2 linked regions of the Stegostoma tigrinum genome follow. The protein of the gene in region 1 interacts with the protein of each later gene in a biochemical or structural test. Links are inferred from orthologs where the notes say so. Each region holds a gene or a part of one and is shown in the gene's direction. Other genes may lie near its edges.

Region 1 (10,187 bases):
TTCGACTATAGAAAAGGTTGAGAGTAGGGTGGTCCGAAATAAAGTTTCAGGGAAGCAAGATGGCACCGGCAAGAAAGAAGTTGGTTTGAAGTGTGTCTACTTCAATGACAGGAGCGTCCGGAATAAGGTGGGTGAACTTGCAGCATGGGTTGGTACCTGGGACTTCGATGTTGTGGCCATTTCAGAGACATGGTTAGAGCAGGGACAGGAATGGTTGTTGCAGGTTCTGGGATTTAGATGTTTCAGTAAGAACAGAGGAAATGGTAAAAGGGGCGGAGGTGTGGCATTGTTGGTCAAGGACAGTATTACAGTTGCAGAAAGGATGTCTGGGGACTCGTCAACTGAGGGTAGTATGGGCTGAGGTTAGAAACAGTAAAGGAGAGGTCACCGTGTTGGGAATTTTCTACAGGCCTCCGAATAGTTCCAGAGATGTAGAGGAAAGATTAGCAAAGATGATTCTCGATAGGAGTGAGAGAGACAGGGTAGTTGTCATGGGGGACTTCAACTTTCCAAATATTAACTGGGAACACTATAGTTCAAGTACTATAGATGGGTCAGGTTTTGTCCAGTGTGTGCAGGAGGGCTTCCTGACACAGTATGTAGATAGGCCAACAAGGGGCGAAGCCACATTAGATTTGGAACTGGGTAATGAGCCTGGCCAGGTGTTAGATTTGGAAGTAGGTGAGCACTTTGGTGATAGCGATCACAATTCTGTTATGTTTACTTTAGTGATGGAAAGGGATAGGTGTATACCACTGGGCAAGAGTTGTAGCTGGGGGAAAGGCAATTACGATGAGATTAGGCAAGTTTTAGGGAGCATAGGATGGGGAAGGAAACTGCAGGGGACGGGCACATTAGAAATGTGGAGCTTATTCAAGGAAAAGCTCCTGTGTGTCCTAGATAAATATGTACCTGTCAGGCAGGGAGGAAGCTGTAGAGCACGGGAGCTGTGGTTTACGAAGGAGGTGGAATCTCTGGTCAAGAGGAAGAAGAAGGCTTATGTTAGGATGAGATGTGAAGGCTCAGTTAGAGCACTTGAGGGCTACGAGGTAGCCAAGAAAGACCTAAAGAGAGCGCTCAGAAGAGCCTGGAGGAGACATGAGAAGTTGTTGGCGGATAGGATCAGGGTAAACCCTAAGGCTTTCTACAGGTATTTAAGGAATAAAAGAATGATGAAAGTAAGATTAGGTCCAATCAAGGATAGTAGTGGGAAGTTGTGTGTGGAGTCAGAGGAGATGGGGAAGCGCTAAATGAATATTTTTCAACAGTATTCACTCTAGAAAACGACAATGTTGTCGAGGAGAATACTGAGATACAGGCTACTAGACTAGGTGGGATTGAGGTTCACAAGGAAAAGGTATTAGAAATCCTTCAGAGGGTGAAGATACATAAGTCCCCGGGCCGGATGGGATTTATCCTCGGATCCTCTGGGAAGCCAGGGAGGAGATTGCCGAGGCTTTGACATTGATCTTTAACTCGTCATTGTCTACAGGAATAGTGCCAGATGACTGGAGGATAGCAAATGTGGTTCCCCTGTTCGAGAAGGGGAGTAGAGACAACCCTGGTAATTATAGACCAGTGAGCCTTACCTCAGTTGTTGGTAAAGGTTATAAGGGGTAGGATTTATAATCATCTAGAAAAGAATAAATTGATTAGGGATAGTCAGCACGGTTTTGTGAAGGGAAGGTCGTGCCTCACAAACCTTATTGAGCTCTTTCAGAAGGTGACCAAACAGGTAGATGAGAGTAAACTGGTTGATGTGGTGTATATGGATTTCAGCAAGGCGTTCGATAAGGTTCCCCACAATAGGCTATTGTACAAAATGCGGAGGAATGGAATTGTGGGAGATATAGCAGTTTGGATCAGAAATTGGCTTGCTGAAAGAAGACAGAGGGTGGTAGTTGATGGGAAATGTTCATCCTGGAGACCAGTTACTAGTGGTGTACCGCAAGGGTCGATGTTGGGTCCACTGCTGTTTGTCATTTTTATAAATGACCTGGATGAGGGCGTAGAAGGATGGGTTAGTAAATTTGCAGATGACACTAAGGTCAGTGGAGTTGTGGATAGTGAAGAAGGATGCTGTAGGTTACAGAGAGACATAGATAAGCTGCAGAGCTGGTCTGAGAGGTGGCAAATGGAGATTAATGCGGACAAATGTGAGGTGATGCACTTAGGTAGGAGTAACTGGAAGGCAAAGTACTGGGCTAATCGTAAGATTCTTGGTAGTGTAGATGTGCAGAGAGATCTTGGTGTCCATGTACACAGATCCTTGAAAGTTGCCACCCAGGTTGACAGGGCTGTTAAGAAGACATACAGTGTTTTAGCTTTTATTAATAGAGGGATCAAGTTCCGGAACCAAGAATTTATGCTGCAGCTGTACAAAACTCTGGTGCGGCCGCACTTGGAGTATTGCGTACAGTTCTGGTCACCACATTATAAGAAGGATGTGCAAGCTTTGGAAAGGGTGCAGAGGAAATTTACTAGGATGTTGCCTGGTATGGAGGGAAGGTGTTGTGAGGAAAGGCTGAGGGACTTGAGGCTGTTTTCATTAGAGAGAAGAAGGTTCAGAGGTGACTTAATTGAAACATATAAAATAATCAGAGGGTTAGATAGGGTGGATAGGGAGAGCCTTTTACCTGGGATGGTGACAGTGAGCACGAGGGGGCATAGCTTTAAATTGAGGGGTGAAAGATATAGTTCAGATGTCAGAGGTAGTTTCTTTACTCAGAGTAGTAAGGGAATGGAGGCTTTGCCTGCAACGGTAGTAGATTCGCCAACTTTAGGTACATTTAAGTCGTCATTGGATAAGCATATGGACGTACATGGAATAGTGTAGGTTAGATGGGCTTGAGATTGGTATGACAGGTCGGCACAACATCGAGGGCCGAAGGGCCTGTGCTGTGCTGTAATGTTGTATGTTCTATGTTCCACCAACCTTAAGTGTCGTCTGCAAACTTACTAACCCATCCTTCTACACCCTCATCCAGGTCATTTATAAAAATGACGAACAGCAGTGGACCTAACATCGACCCTTGCGGTACACCACTAGTAACTGGTCTTCAGGATGAACATTTCCCTTCAACTACCACCCTCTGTCTTCTTTCAGCAAGCCAATTTCTGATCCAAACTGCTATATCTCCCACAATCCCATTCCTCCGCATTTTGTATGATAGCCTACTGTGGGGAACCTTATCGAACGCCTTGCTGAAATCCATATACACCACATCAACCGGTTTACTCTCATCTACCTGTTTGGTCACCTTCTCAAAGAACTCAATAAGGTTTGTGAGGCACGACCTACCCTTCACAAAATCGTGCTGACTATCCCTAATCAATTTATTCTTTTCTAGATGATTATAAATCCCATCTCTTATAACCTTTTCCAACACTTTACCAACAACTGAGGTAAGGCTCACTGGTCTATAATTACCAGGGTTGTCTCTACTCCCCTTCTCGAACAGGGGAACCACATTTGCTATCCTCCAGTCATCTGGCACTATTCCTGTAGACAATGACGAGTTAAAGATCAATGTCAAAGGCTCGGCAATCTCCTCCCTGGCTTCCCAGGGGATCCTAGGATAAATACCATCCAGCCCAAGGGACTTATCTATCTTCACCCTCTGTAGGATTTCTAATGCCTCTTCCTTGTGAACCTCAATCCCACCTAGTCTAGTAGCCTGTGTCTCAGTATTCTCCTCAACAACATTGTTGTTTTCTAGAGTGAATACTGTCGAAAAATATTCATTTAGTGCTTTCCCTATCTCCTCTGACTCCACACACAACTTCCCACTACTATCCTTGTTTGGACCTAATCTTAGTCTCGTCATTCTTTTATTCCTTCAATACCTATAGAAAGCCTTAGGGTTTACCCTGATCCTATCCGCCAACAACTTCTCATGTCTTCTCCTGGTTCTTCTGAGCGCTCTCTTTAGGTCTTTCTTGGCTACCTTGTAACCCTCAAGCACCCTAACTGAGCCTTCACATCTCATCCTAACATAAGCCTTCTTCTTCCTCTTGACCAGAGATTCCATTTCCTTCGTAAACCACGGCTCCCGCGCTCTACAGCTTCCTTAACCAAATATCTTGAACTGTACCCACATCCAATACTTCCTCTGGAAGTTCATTCCTCAGACAGTATTAAAATATAATCTCTCTGGTAACCTTTTCTTTCAGCTTTGCCCCTTCCATACCTAGTTTGGTCATTGTCTCGCTTTGTTCATGCCCATTAACTTATCTCCATTGTCCAGAACCCATGGTCTGGATTTTATATGACCACATGGGGCAAAGGGAGTGGCAGAGTATGAGATCAGCCTGTTGAACCTGGATCCCTATTGTGTTATCAAAATTGATGTGGTTCGACAGCCTGTAATCCCAGCAATAGTCACAGGTCCCAATGTTCTCTACTAGAACTGCAGGGCTGCCAGCCATGGAATCGGCGACAACTCACTAAAATGGAACTCCCTTCCAAGAACTAAGAATTTAAGACTATAATGTATGGGAGCAGAGGTAGGCCATTCTGCCCAATCCGCCTGCTCCACAATTCAATAAGATCATAGCTAATCTGATTATCAGTCTAATCAGGATTAACAGTCTAGTACCACCAGATCACTTCCTGCCTTATCTCCTTTGATTCTCTAAGGAAATTATAAATTTCTCTCTCGGCCTTAGACCATAAGGTATAGGAGAAAACTTAGGCCATGTGGCCCATCAAGTCTGCTTCATCGTTTGATCATAGCTGATATGTTTCTCAATTTCATTCTCCTGCCTTCTCCCCATAACTCTCAATTTCCTTGCTAATTAAGAACCTCTCTGTCTTACATACAATCAATGACTTGGCCTCCAGAGCCTTCTGCAGCAATCAGTTCCACAGATTCGCCACACTCTAGTTGGAAAAATTTCCCTTCATCTCAATTCTAAAGGGCTATACTCTGAGGCTTGCTCTTGGGTCCTAGTCTCTCCTACTAGTGGGAACATCTCCATGTCCACTTTAATCAGGTCTCTCAGTATTCTACAAGTTTCAAACAGATCCCATCTCATCCTTCTAAGCTAGACGTAGAGCCCTTCATCCCTAGAATCATTCTTGTAAACTTCCTCTGGATTATCTCCAATGCCAGCATATCCTTCCTGAAACTTGGGACCCAAAACAGAACAAACCACCGCAGGAAGTGACAGAGGCAGGGACTGTCACAGCATTTAAAACATATTTAGATAGATACAGGAATATAATGATTTAGTTCAGTTTGTGAAACCTGTTTGACATGGATTAGTTGGACCAAAGAGTCTGTTTCCATCCTATATTACTCCATTACAATATTTCAGTTGCGGTCTGACCAGAGCTTTATACAGTCTAAGCCATATGCCTCTGCTCTTGTATTCTAACCTTCTCAGTCATACAGCATGGAAACAGACCCTTCCGTTTAACCCATCCACGCTGATCAGACATTCCAATCCGGCCTAGTCCCATTTGCCAGTATCTGTCCCATATCCCCAAATCCCGTCCTATTCATGTACCCATCCAGATGTTTTGTAGTAATTGTAATTTTGTAGTAATGTTGTAATTGTACCCACACCTATCACTTCCTCTAGCTGCTCGTTCCATACATGCATGACCCTCTGCGTGAAAAATTTATCTCTCCGGTCATTTTTATATTTTATCCCTCTCACCTTAAACCTATGCCCTCTACTTTATATTATGTGCAGTTTTGGGCTCCTTTTCTGAGGAAGTATGTCCTGTTTTCGAGGGAGTGCAGCGAACCCCCAAACCCGCTCCTCCAATTTTCTGATAATTCTCACTTTCTCTGTGCTGATAATTTTTTTTCTTTCTTTCATTCCAGTTTTACACCTCCTTCCCGCCCAAAAGAAACTCGCGCGCCCAACGGCACTGGAGAACAGGCCCCGCCCTCTCAGTGGCCCCGCCTTCTCCAACAGCTCCCTTCACTCGGCTCCTCTCCCCGCGGCAGGACCACACCTCGCTACCCAAAGACCCGCCCCCCACACCACAGCCACGCCCGCTACATGGACCACGCCCTCAAAAGTTCGACAACCCAAGTTTACCCCATGCTGACAAAGTGTTGAAGCTGGATGAACACAGCGGGCCAAGCAGCATCTCAGGAGCACAAAAGTTGACGTTTCGGGCCAAGACCCTTCATCAGAGAGGGTTGATGAAGGGTCTCGGCCCAAAACGTCAGCTTTTGTGCTCCTGAGATGCTGCTTGGCCTGCTGTGTTCATCCAGCTCCACACTTTGTTATCTTGGATTCTCCAGCATCTGCAGTTCCCTTTATCTCTGATCACAATTTGCCCCATTCTCCACGGCCAGCTCCACCCGCCCTCCCTCCAACTGGCGCACCCCGCAGGCCCCTCCCTCTTATTAACACGCACCGCTGTCTCGCCCGTTCATCCAGACCACGCCCATATTGCGTCGCCTGCGTGATGATGTCAGCGGGGAGAGGTGGGCCCGGGGTCGAGGCGATGCCCGGAGATGGCGGATGACGGGGAATTGCGGGTCAGTATTAGGAGGTCTCGGGAGGGAGAGGGAGAGCGAGCGGGAGGGACGGGGTTGTTCTCTGCAGTGGTGGCACCGGGTGGAGCCAGCTGTCGATGTTGATCGAGCAGAAGGAAAGCATTCCCCCCACTAACCACAGCGAACTGGCCCGAGCGCGGAGGCGCGCGTCGGGGGAACGACCGTCGTGGGCGCGCCTGGAGGGCTCTCCGTAACAGAGCAGGCCCCCACCCCAAACCTCACCCTAAATCATGCCCCACACATACTACTGGTTCCCTCTTAAATTCACTGACACTCCCTCCCGCACCAAAACAAGCGCACGACACCCCTCCTCACTGACACTTATCCTACTGATGACAGCCCCCACTCTGACCCCATCCTTCCCAATGACCCTCCGCTCCCCCGCCACAGCGACCTGCCATTCGCCCTTCTGATCCCCTACCGACCCCCTTCCCAACCATCATATCGATACACCCTCACACTGACACAACTTCACCTCCCCCCCCCACCACGGACACCCCTACCCCACACTGACACACCATCACCCCCCTCCAAACTGACACACCTCTTCCACCCCCCCCACACACTGACCTGTCATCCTCTCTGCTGACCCCCTACCCCTCACCAACCCCCTCTCCCCATGCTGACATGCCCCCACTGCCCTGCTGGCAGTCCTCCCATCCTGACAATCTGGCATCTTCCGCACGACCCCCCGCCACCCCCCACCAAGCCCCCAAAACTTCCATAAACACTCTTATTCTCAACTACATCCCTTTCCCCAGGTCTGTTGATATGCCATCCCTTTTCCAACACCGTCACCAACCACTCCTCCATACTTCCTGTTTGCAGCTGCTTTCCACCACTTCCAGCTTTCATTCCCTCACCCCAACAGTCACACTTAGAACATAGAACAGTACAGCACAGAACAGGCCCTTCAGCCCACAATGTTGTGCCGACCATTGATCCTCATGTATGCACCCTCAAATTTCTGTGACCATATACAGGTCCAGCAGTCTCTTAAACGACCCCAATGACCTTGCTTCCACAACTGCTGCCGGCAACGCATTCCATGCTCTCACAACTCTCTGCGTAAAGAACCTGCCTCTGACATCCCCTCTATACTTTCCACCAACCAGCTTAAAACTATGACCCCTCGTGCTAGCCATTTCTGCCCTGGGAAATAGTCTCTGGCTATCAACTCTATCTATGCCTCTCATTATCTTGTATACCTCAATTAGGTCCCCTCTCCTCCTCCTTTTCTCCAATGAAAAGAGACTGAGCTCAGTCAACCTCTCTTCATAAGATAAGCCCTCCAGTCCAGGCAGCATCCTGGTAAACCTCCTCTGAACCCTCTCCAAAGCATCCACATCTTTCCTATAATACGGCGACCAGAACTGGACGCAGTATTCCAAGTGCGGTCTAACCAAAGTTTTATAGAGCTGCAACAAGATCTCACGACTCAAACTCAATCTCCCTGTTAATGAAAGCCAAAACACCATATGCTTTCTTAACAACCCTGTCCACTTGGGTGGCCATTTTAAGGGATCTATGTATCTGCACACCAAGATCCCTCTGTTCCTCCACGCTGCCAAGAATCCTATCCTTAATCCTGTACTCTGCTTTCAAATTCGACCTTCCAAAATGCATCACCTCGCATTTATCCAGGTTGAACTCCATCTGCCACCTCTCAGCCCATCTCTGCATCCTGTCAATGTCCCGCTGCAGCCTACAACAGCCCTCTACACTGTCAACGACACCTCCGACCTTTGTGTCGTCTGCAAACTTGCTGACCCATCCTTCAATCCCCTCATCCAAGTCATTAATAAAAATTACAAACAGTAGAGGCCCAAGGACAGAGCCCTGTGGAACCCCACTCACCACTGACTTCCAGGCAGAATATTTTCCTTCTACTACCACTCGCTGTCTTCTGTTGGCCAGCCAATTCTGTATTACCAAAAGCCGCAGCAACATCCACATTGTTCCCACCCACCAAACCATTTACCTGGCATCTCGTTGCTCACACTGATAAATTCATCTCTTGCTTGATGCCCCCACTTTTCAACACTGATGCAAAACTATCCCCTGGCCCTGCAGCCCCCACCTTTTCAGCATTCTCCACCCTGCCTCTCTGCCCTACCTTTTCCCCACTCTAACAGATTCTGAGGAAGGGTCAATAGATCCAAAATGTTAATTCTGATTTCTCTACACAGCTGCTGCCAGACTTGCTGAGCTTTTCTAGCAACTTGTTTTTGTTTCTAACAGATTCTCTGTTTTGCAGCACATGGTGATGAGCTTTAGAGTGTCGGAACTACAAGTGCTGCTGGGATTCTCTGGCCGGAACAAGACAGGCCGTAAACACGAGCTGTTGACCAAAGTGCTGTACATGCTGAAGTCTGGCTGCAGTCCAGCTGTGCACATGAAAATTAAAGAGCTCTACAGGCGTCGCTTCCCTCGCAAGAGCCACACCACCATGGAGTTGCCTTTACTATCTGTCCAGAACGCCGTGGCTCACCCTTCAGCCAGTGCATCTCTGGCTCTTGGCAGCAATCCACAGCTTCACTACAGTACCTCTGCTGCCTCGGCCTTGGTGTCCCCACTGTTGTCGCCCCTCAGCATGCTCACTCCCAAGCGAGAATTAGATTTACAACATCTGTCCCCCCCAGTGCATCCAGACGTCAAAATGAGGAGGCTGCCATTTTATGACATCTACGATGAGCTGACCAAACCAACCACATTAGGTAAGGCCGTGGTGATGAATGGCCTGGGGGCTTGGAGGGGAAGATATGGGGTGGGATGGAAGTTGATGGATTTGGAAGGATTGATATTGTTGACCAGTGGTCGTTCTGTGCCCAGCACGCCTGGAATTTGATGGGACCTCCTGTTTGGTCTGAAGATAAGGTAAAGGTAAAATTGCTATAGTCTTACCAGACTATAGGGCTGCTCCCTCATTTGAGAGAGACAACTGCTGGTGGTTTAACCTGAGGTAAGGGGAGAGATTGTGAAGCAGAGTCCTTCATGGTAACCTCAGCTGTTTCAGGAACTGAACCCACACTGTTGGCACCTGTCTGCATCACAAACTGACTGTCCAGCCAACTGAGACAAACATTGCAGTTCTTCATAAGCAGGAGGGCATTTCAGAGGAACCAGAACGAAAATTGGACCTGGCTACCAATGATGCAGCATGTGCAGAATTGCCTGTAGCCATATATGGCAGTGTGTTATGGTAAGGACAACTTTGATCTCACTCCAAAGAAAGTCAGTCGGTCAGTGAGAGCAGCACAAGAGGAGGAAACAGTGAGGGGTGGGAAGGAGAGAGTAGTGAGGGTTGGGGTGGTGAAGGAAGGAAGGGAGAATTCTTCAGAATTAAACTAGAAATGTTAACTCTGCTTTCTGTCCGCACATGCTGCCTGACTTGCTGAATTTCTCCGGCAATTGCTGTTTATGTTTCAGATTTCCAGCTTCTGTGGTTCTTTGTTCCATTTTAGTTTCACGGGCCTATATTGTTTCTTGATGATGATGAGGCGGTGTTTCCATTGTATCCTTTCTGCTTTCTTTTTTTACAGTATCAAGTAATGGGCAACGATTTGAGGAAGCTGTTGTTACGTTTGCATTGACCCCACAGCAAGTTCAACAGATTTGCTCATCCAGGTGAGAGTGTGAAAATGGACAAAACCTTTCACCCAAACA
Region 2 (9,614 bases), on another chromosome or scaffold:
ATTTGAAAACAAGGATACTAATAGGGTCCAGGTTTTCCACAAAGTGGCAATTGCTGGTGGATTGCTGTTGTGCTACCACTCTTGCCACTTGATGCTATTCCATCGTTGTGGTCATACCTTTGGGGCCCCGCTTTGCCAGAAATGCAGTGTGTACCTCCAGTCAACCAGCTTCATTGTAGTCGCAATAACAGAAGTTGTTGCAAAAGCTCAGCAGGTCTGGCAGCATCTATGAAGGGAAGTCAGAGTTAACATTTCCAATCCAGTGACCCTTCTTCAGATGAGTGATTAGGGATTCAGTTATGTTGCTATCCAAGAGTTAAGCTGGGGTTTCTCAGTCTAACATTTGCTGGGTAACTACATGATAAATATGTGGAATTGCCCAAAGTATCCAATCTGACCCAGACTTGGACACTTTTGTGAAGTAGATGAGTTGGTCATCAGGAGTTCAAATTTCTCAATCCATATCCCAAAGATGTCAACTTGGCAAGGTCTCGAGGTGCATCTTGACTCATATGCCTTGTCTCTGACAAACCAGAGACTAAAGGTCTGGGCCAAGAGACTCCAAAAAGGTTTAAGCATAACTTTGAAAAAAACATGTTATTAATAAGTTGATTATTGTACTCCAAAACAATTAGGGAACAGTTCTGTAAAATTCTGGAAAAAGTTGTTTTCAGTCATTTAAAATTTGGTTACACACAGATGATGGAATAATATTGTGACCAAGAAGTTATTTGTGTAACAAATTTGTTTTCAGCTGTATTTATCAAACTACATCATGATACCTTTCTGAAATACATCGAGAGCTATTCACCTGAAAGTGTTGGTGCACTGGAGATTTTGAGTGAAAACACAAGACAAAAAATCCACTTTTTAAAACAAGCATCTGTTTGGGTACCATTTGCACCCTTTTACCATTTGTGCCGATTTTACTGATTGTGTTCAATCAGAAATTCTACCCATGTGGTGAACTAATAAGTGTGGAATTGGATATAAAATCCAAATTATGATGATTAATTTGTGGATGAACAGACTTCAGCTGAGATCTATAATTCTACATTTTTAAAATGTGTTTTAATTGTCCTACATGCGTAAAACCCCTTGAAGTAACTGAAGCAGGAAACCATCCATCTTCTTTCTGTGTGCACAACCAGCTTTATTTTTGCAATACTACATTTGCTGACTCTTGCAGCTTTGGCTATACACTATTCTGCTGATAATGCTCATTTTGCTACTCTGTATCTGCAGCTATTTGTGAACTAAAACAAGGAAGACACTATTTTCTGTTTCAAGCTTTTTGTGCCTCAAAGTGATATCACATTGTTTGCACCTACAATTTGGATTTCCTGTTGGTATCATTCTTTGAAAAATATATTTTATGTCTATCTGTGAGGGCAGGTAGAGCCTCAGTTTAATATCTCATGCAAAAACCAAGCCTTCACAAGTGGAGCGGTCCCTCAGGGCTGCATTGAAGGAAACACAACCATTTGAAAAGCCTGTGGTGAACTATGATGGATAAAAAAACTGTTTGATCTTATTTTTGATCATTAGCTTAATTTTGTTTTGCAATTGAATTGAAAGCTAAATGATTCAATATTATGATGTAAAATTGAATCAAAATTAACAGCAAAAACCTCTATTTCTGCAAATGATGCTTTGGACCACAATTTATTGTTAGAACTTGCTGTCTTATCATCCTTAAAGTAATATAACTCTGTACGTGATTTGATCCATTCAAGGGTAGCAGTTTGTTCAAACTGTTTTGAGGAGGTTTGCAGTTTGCAACATTGACTGCTTAGACATGTAATTAAAGTTTACAATTTGTTAGAATTCTTACCATCTATCTGGAAGTCGTTTCTAATCTATACCTATTTCGTTTTTACGATTGCCTCATTTAGTGCTGTTAACAAGGCAACAAGCAATTCTGTAAACAGTGAGACTGAAATAATCTGGAGCTATCCAGCATTCTGTTGACTAGGTGGTGTTTAGGTATCAATATTTATTCATCAGATGCCTATTCATATCTCACATTCATAACACTGTGCTCTCCATCTCAAGTTCTGTAAGCTTCAAATGATATCAACTGTTTTTTCTGGATAAATAATTTTAACCCGAGACACAGCAGTTTATTAGTATAGGTATCTGCAACAATATTTCCCCTCTACTTAGGCATTTTGAACAGTAAAGTTAATTAGTCAGTTAGAAGGGACTAAATCAAAACCAATTAGTTCCCCCGATTGGCATTCTATAAAACAGTATATCTAGATCGTATACATGTGCAACAGTAATTTCTTTCACTGAAATTACAAATACTAACGCTGCACAAATAAAGCATCTGAATTGGTGATTGACGTGCTATGAAGATTATGAAGCATTTAGAAAAACATTTCCTTTGTTGAGATTTTTGTTGTTATGGTTTCATGTATCTGCTCTGATGGAAAATTAACAAAGCTACAGAAATTAGTATTTCTGAGCTTTTTGAAACTTCAACAGGTGAAGTTTAAAGTGTTTTCCAAAGAGTGATGGTTGAAGGTTTTTTTTTGGACTGGAGACCTGTAACTAGCAATCGGTGCTGAGTCCACTTTTGTTTGTCATTTATATAAATGTTTAGATGACAATATAAAAAGTATGGTTAGTAAGTTTGTGGATGACACCAAGAATGGTGGTAAAAGTGCATAGTGAAGAAGGTTGTCTAAGATTACAAAGAGATTTGATCAATTGGGTCAGTGGGCTGAAGAATGGCATGTGGAGTTTAATTTGGATAAATGCAAGGCATTACATTTTGGAGAAACAAGCACAAACAATACTTATATAATTAAAAGTAGGGCGTTCGGCAGTGTTGTAGAACAGATAGATGTAGGAATTCAGGTACATAATTTTTTGAAGTTTGCATCACATATAGATGAGGTGGTCAAGAAGGCATTTAGCATGCTTGCCTACATTGCTCAGTCCTTTGAATACAGGAGTTAGGATGTTATTTTGAGGAGGTACAGGACATTGGCGAGGCCTTTTCTGGAGTACTGTGCACAGCTCTGATTGCCCTATTATACCAAGGATACTATTAAGATGGAGAGAGTTTAGAAGATAGTTACCAGGATGTTGCCAGGGATGGAAGGTTTGAGTTGTTAAGAGAGGCCAGGACTTTTTTTCATGAGAGCATAGGAGGTTGAGAGGTGACCTTATAGAGGTTTATAAAATAATGTGGGGTATAGATAAAGTGAATGGCAAGTCTTTTCCTTAGGATGGCGATTTCAAGGCCAGGGGACATATTTTTAAGGTGAGAGGAGAAAGTTTTAAAAAAGATATGATGGTCAACTCTTTTACACAGAGAGTGGTTTTTGTGTGGAATGAGCTTTCAGAGGAAGTGGTGCATGCAGGTTCAGTTACAATGTTTAAAAGACATTTTGATAAGTACATGAATAAGAAATGTTTGGAGGGATATGGGCCAAGTGCAGGCATGTGGGGCAAGTTTAGATAACAAAGTGTGGAGCTGGATGAACACAGCAGGCCAAGCAGCATCTCAGGAGCACAAAAGCTGACGTTTCGGGCCTAGACCCTTCATCAGAGACCCTTCATCCTCTCTGATGAAGGGTCTAGGTGTGAAACGTCAGCTTTTGAGCTCCTGAGATGCTGCATGGCCTGCTGTGTTCATCCAGCTCCACACTTTGTTATCTTGGATTCTCCAGCATCTGCAGTTCCCATTATCACTGGGGCAAGTTTAGTTTGGGATTATGGTTAGTGTGGACCGGTTGGACAGAAGGGTCTGTTTCCATGCTGTATTACTCTGTGCTTACAAGACATTTGCATATATAGGATATACAACACTGAAACAAGCCACTCAGATCAACTCAATCATGCTGGTGATCATGCTCTGCTTGAACCACCACCCATCCTTTCTCATCAATTCTACCAACATATCCATCTATTTCTTTCTCCCTCATACACTTGTCTCACCTCCCCTTAAATCCTTTACATTATTCACTTCAACCATTTCTTATTATAGTGAGTTCCATATTCTCACTATGCTTTGTGTAAAGAAATTTTGTCTGATTACCTATTGAATTTCTGGGTGACCATATTATATTAATTGTCTCTATTTAGGACCTGAGATAGAAATCACAGGTTCAGTCCTGGGACCCGAGCCCAAATCCTCATCTGTCTGTTGGGCATTTAGGAAGTACTGTGCTGCAGCAGCAGTCATATTCAACCACAATCTATGACTTGATAGCTTGGTTTAGCCTTATTTACCAATATAATCAAGCTGCTAGATCTCCTTGGTTCAATAAGGAGCACTGGAGGGTGTGCTAGGAGCAGTAGCAGGCATTTTCAAGAATGAGCTGTCAACCTGATGAAGCTACAACAGAGGACTACTTGCATGATAAACAGTGGAAGCTGAATGTAAGTTGAGTGATTGCAAAACGAAGGGATCAGATCAAAGTTCTGCAGTGCTGTCAATGGATTCCTGAATGGAAGTAGTCAATTAAAGCAGCAACAGGTGCACGGGCTTCTCATATGTCCTTGCCTTCAATGATGGGGCCCATCACTTTATTCAAAAGGAAGCAATGAAGCATTTGAAAACATCTTCATCCAGAGGTGCGATGTACATTATTCATCCTGGCCTCATCTTGGGGTGTCCAGCATCACAGGTGCCAGACATTGGTTAATTCAGTTTAGTCCAAGATATCAAGAAATTACTGAAGGCACTGGATCCTTCAAAAGCTCTGACAACATTTCTTCCCCAAACAAAAGCACTGCAGACTTGCTCTCCGTAACTAGCTGTGCCTCCGGCCATGCCTTTTTCACTCAAGCTGTAATATTGCCATCTACACAGCAATGCAGAAAATTGCCCAAGCAGGTCATATACTGTACGCACATCCCATGAATGAATAAAAACTAATTCCTGCCTTCTTATTGTGTTGTGAAAGGTCAACAATTTGACATGTTAGCTGTTTCCCTTAGTTCTTATCTGATCTCCAACTTTTTTAATTTTAGATTTTCACTATCAGCAGAAATTTGTCCTTGAGCAGGTATTAAAATTACATTATTTGATATATTACATGGTTGCGCACCTCTATATAATTGAGTCCAACAACTTTTGACTTACCGTGAACAGTTATGTGAAAATATGTTCAATTTTACTTGGAGTCAAGATGACCTCATACATCATTAAAGCAATGTTAACTCTACGTCTCGAGCATGCCGTTGGGATAGTGTTTTCCCGTATTTGTATTAGATTGTAATTGAACTATCTACTAGGTGAAATGGAAGAATCAAAATATGGTCTCGTTCCCTTAACCTATTTGCAAGCTCGACCTGAGTTCACAATACGTTTGCTGACGCATCAAAGCGTATTGAGAGAGAGAAAAATAAACGCACATGCTGAGGCTGAGGGACGTCAGAAATCGACATGAAATTGCAAAAAAAAGACAGGCAGCCGGGAGGATTGCGATCCTACAAAGTGAGAAATTGGTCAAAGCAGACAATTCCACTGCGTTGGAATAAGCAAATGCAACACTTCACTCAATGTATTCTCCAGCATTTTCCAGTATTTACCCTTTGATCTGATTGATGCAAACAAATGAAAGTAGAATTTACTGTGCTGGTTTGCTGCAGTAGCCAATAAAACCTGCTGACATTACACTGTACGGGAGCAGCAAGCCGGCCGGTCAGCCAAGGGCACATGCCCCAGCGGCCGGCTCGGGCCGCGACTCGCCACTGGGAGTTGTAGTCCACGCTCTCCGGGGTCTGGGGTCTGGGCGGAGGGAATCGCCGGGCCACGGGGAACTACAACTCCCGGCGGTCCTTTCGAAGCGGAGCCGGGCAGGAGGAGGTGGCGAAGCCTGCGTGGAGACAGCGTCTGTCACTCAGAGAAACTTTGTCTTGTTGACATTTATTGCTGCCGCCGCTCGGATTCTCGCTTCATTTCACACCACCCCTTTTGTGAAGAATCCCGATTTAAATTTTGTAGAGCTCCCAACGCAAACACACTCACACTTACACTCCCCTGCGCTGCGTTCCGCCCCAATGCAGTCTGAGTCGGGAATCGTTCCGGATTTTGAAGTCGGGGAGGAATTTCATGAAGAAGCGAAAACGTTTTACGAGCTGAAGAGTCAGCCCCTGAGCCGCAGGTCAGTGGGGGAAAAGGGGTTAGCGGAGCCGGGCCGGGCTGGGCTGCGGGTGGGGAGTGGTTTGGTTTGCCTGCGCCGGATCACTGTCACTGTCCATGAGCCACTCATCCCTAGCACCAGCCTCCCAGGCCAGGGTAAGGTGCCGGTACCTAGGGGCTGAGCCGGGAGCTGGGTGGGGAGATGCTCATTCGCTGTCACTCCGCACATTCCTCGCACTGTTCCCAAATGTCAACACATCTCACCCTTGAACTGTGCTGGCGGTAGTTACGTTTATTTATAAACGCTGCATACAACAACGTGTTAGTTCTGAGAAGTCTTTTTTTTAAAACACACACACACACACTAAAGTCTGTTAGCGGGGTGTGTACCGAATGGGTAAGAATTTGCTGCCCTGAAGCGCTGAACTTGGAGGCTCTGTCAAGAAGACAGCTCAGTGCAAACGCTTGGCGTCACTTGCTGAAACAGATCCTCGGTGCAACGTTTAAAGCGCAATAACTTCCAAGGTCTCCCCTCTTAATCCCTAACAAAAAGGAGAGAAAATCCCCGCTGATCGGCTTGTGTGAGAATTTCGTTGTTGTTGTGCACGTAATTAAATGGGGAAGTCAAATCTGAGAGGTCGAATAATTGGTTGGTATGTAATAACTATCAGATTTTAACTAATGGAATTCGGACACGTTGCGTATGTGAAACGCTGCACGTTTATGTTGTACGCCTCACCTGGTATCGTCTGCTGGTTTAGACTTGAAAGTAAAAACGTTAGATGAATTGATTTTAAGGAATACCGTCTTGTAAACACATTGCACAATTTATTTTTAGTATTCATGTTGTATGCTACCGAAATATTTACCAGGGTGAACCAGCACTTGAACCATATGGCAAGCACAGATGCTGTGACTAACTCTCTTGGGGTTAATATATGTATAGACAGGGTGTTTCCAAGAACTACATTATTTGTTCAGGTGATACAACACAACAAAAAGAGAAGCCCTACTGAAGTCTTGAGTGTGAACACATTTCTTGTTTTTATCATGAACACTAATTTCTGGATAAGCATTTTTAAAAATTTGGCATCCCTGGTCCCATGTTGCTCGGTCTCATCATTGGTCATATCTTTGCATGATTGTGCGGGAACGTTCAAAACTACATCATGCCTCATTCAGGGTGAAGCGATCCTATGGCCAATGGGTCAGGTCGAAATTCTGTGGCTCTATTCCATCAGTTCCTGAATTGTAATGAACAATTAGACAGCCAACAGAAGACTTCACAAACATCCCCATCTTCAATGAAGTGGATTCCCAGCACACTAGTGCAAAAGACAAGGCTAACACATGTGGAACTATCTTCAGCTGGAAGTACAGAATGGATGATCCACCCTGCCTGCCATCTGAGCTTGCCAACATCACAAATGCCAATTTTCAGTCATTTTTATTCACTCAAATGATAAGATGCATTTATTTCCGATACAGTGGGAAATGCATGGAAACATAACATTGTAATCAAACACTGAGAACTGGCTCACTGAAATCAGTGGACATTACAATATGGCAGAATTTATTTGTCAGTGTGTGGTTTTATTAAAGTTGTAGCACTCTGCTGTTCAAGCAAGAGGTGTGTCTGCAATGAATTAGAAAGCAATGTTAACCTAGAGGCATGTGTACTAAGAGCTCTTGGTGTCTAACTCACCACCTCACTTGTTCTCCTACTCTTTAAGAGACATGCCAAGCCCTGCAATGAGGTGTGTGCCCATCAACGGCTGGGGGTTGGGAAAGGGTGCATGGGCATCTGGTGGTTGGGGCAACATCTAGTGGTGAGCAGCCAGAAGTACCTGTTATGGTGGTGTGATACCAGTGCCACCATTTATAGAAGTGCAGCTTATCAGTGACTAACTTTACCTGCTGTCTTGGCATTGGCAGCATGCACATTGTCAAAAACTGACTGCTGACTGCACTGGATACTACAAAGGCTATGGATCAATAATATTGAAGACTTGTGTTCCAGTGCTAGCTATGTCCTTAGCTAAGTTATTTCAATACAGCTGTAATACTGACATATATCAGACAAGTGAAAAAAATGCCTGGGTATCAATAGAGTGTGGAGCCGGAGGAACACAGCAGGTCAGGCAGCATCAGAGGAACAGGAAAGTCGATGTTTCGGGTTTACACCGTTCATCAGGATTGGTGAAGGGTGTAAACCCGAAACATCGACTTTCCTGCTCCTCTGATGCTGCCTGACCTGCTGTGTTCCTCCGGTTCCACACTGTATTGACTCTGACTCCAGCATCTGTAGTTCTTACTAGCTCCAATTGCCCATGTATGTTCTGTCCACAAAAAAGGCAAATCATAGAAGAATCGTAGAATCCCTACTGTGTGGCAGCAGACCATTCGGCCCATTGAGTCCATAACCGACCCTCTGAAGAGCTCCCACCCACCATCCCTTCCATATGCCCATAACCCTGCATTTCCCTCGGCAAATCTACATAGCATGCACATCTATGGATGCCATCGGCAAATTAGCACACCCAATCCACCTAAGTTTTACATCTTTAGACTGTGGGAGGAAACCGGAGCATCTGGGGGAAGCCTATGCAGACACTGGGAAAATGTGCAAGCTCCACACAGCCACGTGAGATAGTATCGATTCCAGGTCCGTGGTGGTGAGGCAGCAGTGCTAATCACTGAGCCACTGTTCAATCGCCAGTTGTGCTCGAAGTATCACTTTTTCAGCAATATCATGCTCCACTGATGCTTAATTTGAGTTCTGCCTGGGCAACTGGGCTCCAGACTTCATAACAGGAATAGTCCAAACGGGGACAAAAGAAGTGGTGATTTCAGTGTTCGGTACCATTTGCAATTCCTCAGTTACTGAAATCTATATGCAGCAAGACATTTGGTTATACTTCAGGCTCATGGCTAAAATTGTCAGGTGATTGTTGCACTACACAAGTATAATGAAATTACCATTTCCAACATATATGACTAGCTCTTTTTGATATTCAATGTAATTACCATCACAGAATCCTCCTTTACCATCGTTCTGTTGGATATGACTGATCCGAAACTTAACTGGCCCAACTATGTAGATAGTTTGTACATAGATCAGTTCAGAGGCTGGACATTCCAAGGTGAATAACTTATTCTTGACTTGCCATGTCCTATCACCATCTTAAAGGTGTGAATAAGTTGTGGAACTCTCAACTTGCTTGAATAAGTATAGCTCTAACAACAAAGCTTGACATCACCCTGGACAAAACAATGTACTTGACAGGCATCCCATCCACTACCTTCAATATTCACTGTGCTTACCACTGAGGCACAATGCTTGCTATCTGCAAGGCGCGTAGCAGCAACTTATTCATGAGGCCTAGACAGCAACTTTCAAATTTATGACCTCTACCTCCTAGAAAGACAAGGATAACAGATCCATAGACAGACCGCCTGCTAAAAGATTTCCCCAGGCCACATGTCATCTTGACTTGGAACTATATTCCGT

Evidence for each region. The genes of interacting proteins can lie anywhere in the genome.
Region 2: the proteins of E3 SUMO-protein ligase PIAS3-like (region 1) and microphthalmia-associated transcription factor-like form a complex in vitro, tested with the Homo sapiens proteins (2 studies listed by BioGRID). The link is inferred for Stegostoma tigrinum from reciprocal best matches to the Homo sapiens genes PIAS3 and MITF.

The regions. Positions count from the first base shown.
Region 1 is NC_081400.1:477,004-487,190, forward strand, and holds the start of E3 SUMO-protein ligase PIAS3-like, read left to right. Parts: upstream 1-6,394; 5' UTR 6,395-6,479; coding exon of another isoform or gene 6,480-6,486; coding exon 6,487-6,503; intron 6,504-8,762; coding exon 8,763-9,238; intron 9,239-10,063; coding exon 10,064-10,148; intron 10,149-10,187. UniProt on the Homo sapiens protein: Functions as an E3-type small ubiquitin-like modifier (SUMO) ligase, stabilizing the interaction between UBE2I and the substrate, and as a SUMO-tethering factor.
Region 2 is NC_081364.1:42,889,751-42,899,364, reverse strand, and holds the start of microphthalmia-associated transcription factor-like, read left to right. Parts: upstream 1-5,822; 5' UTR 5,823-6,021; coding exon 6,022-6,125; intron 6,126-9,614. UniProt on the Homo sapiens protein: Transcription factor that acts as a master regulator of melanocyte survival and differentiation as well as melanosome biogenesis.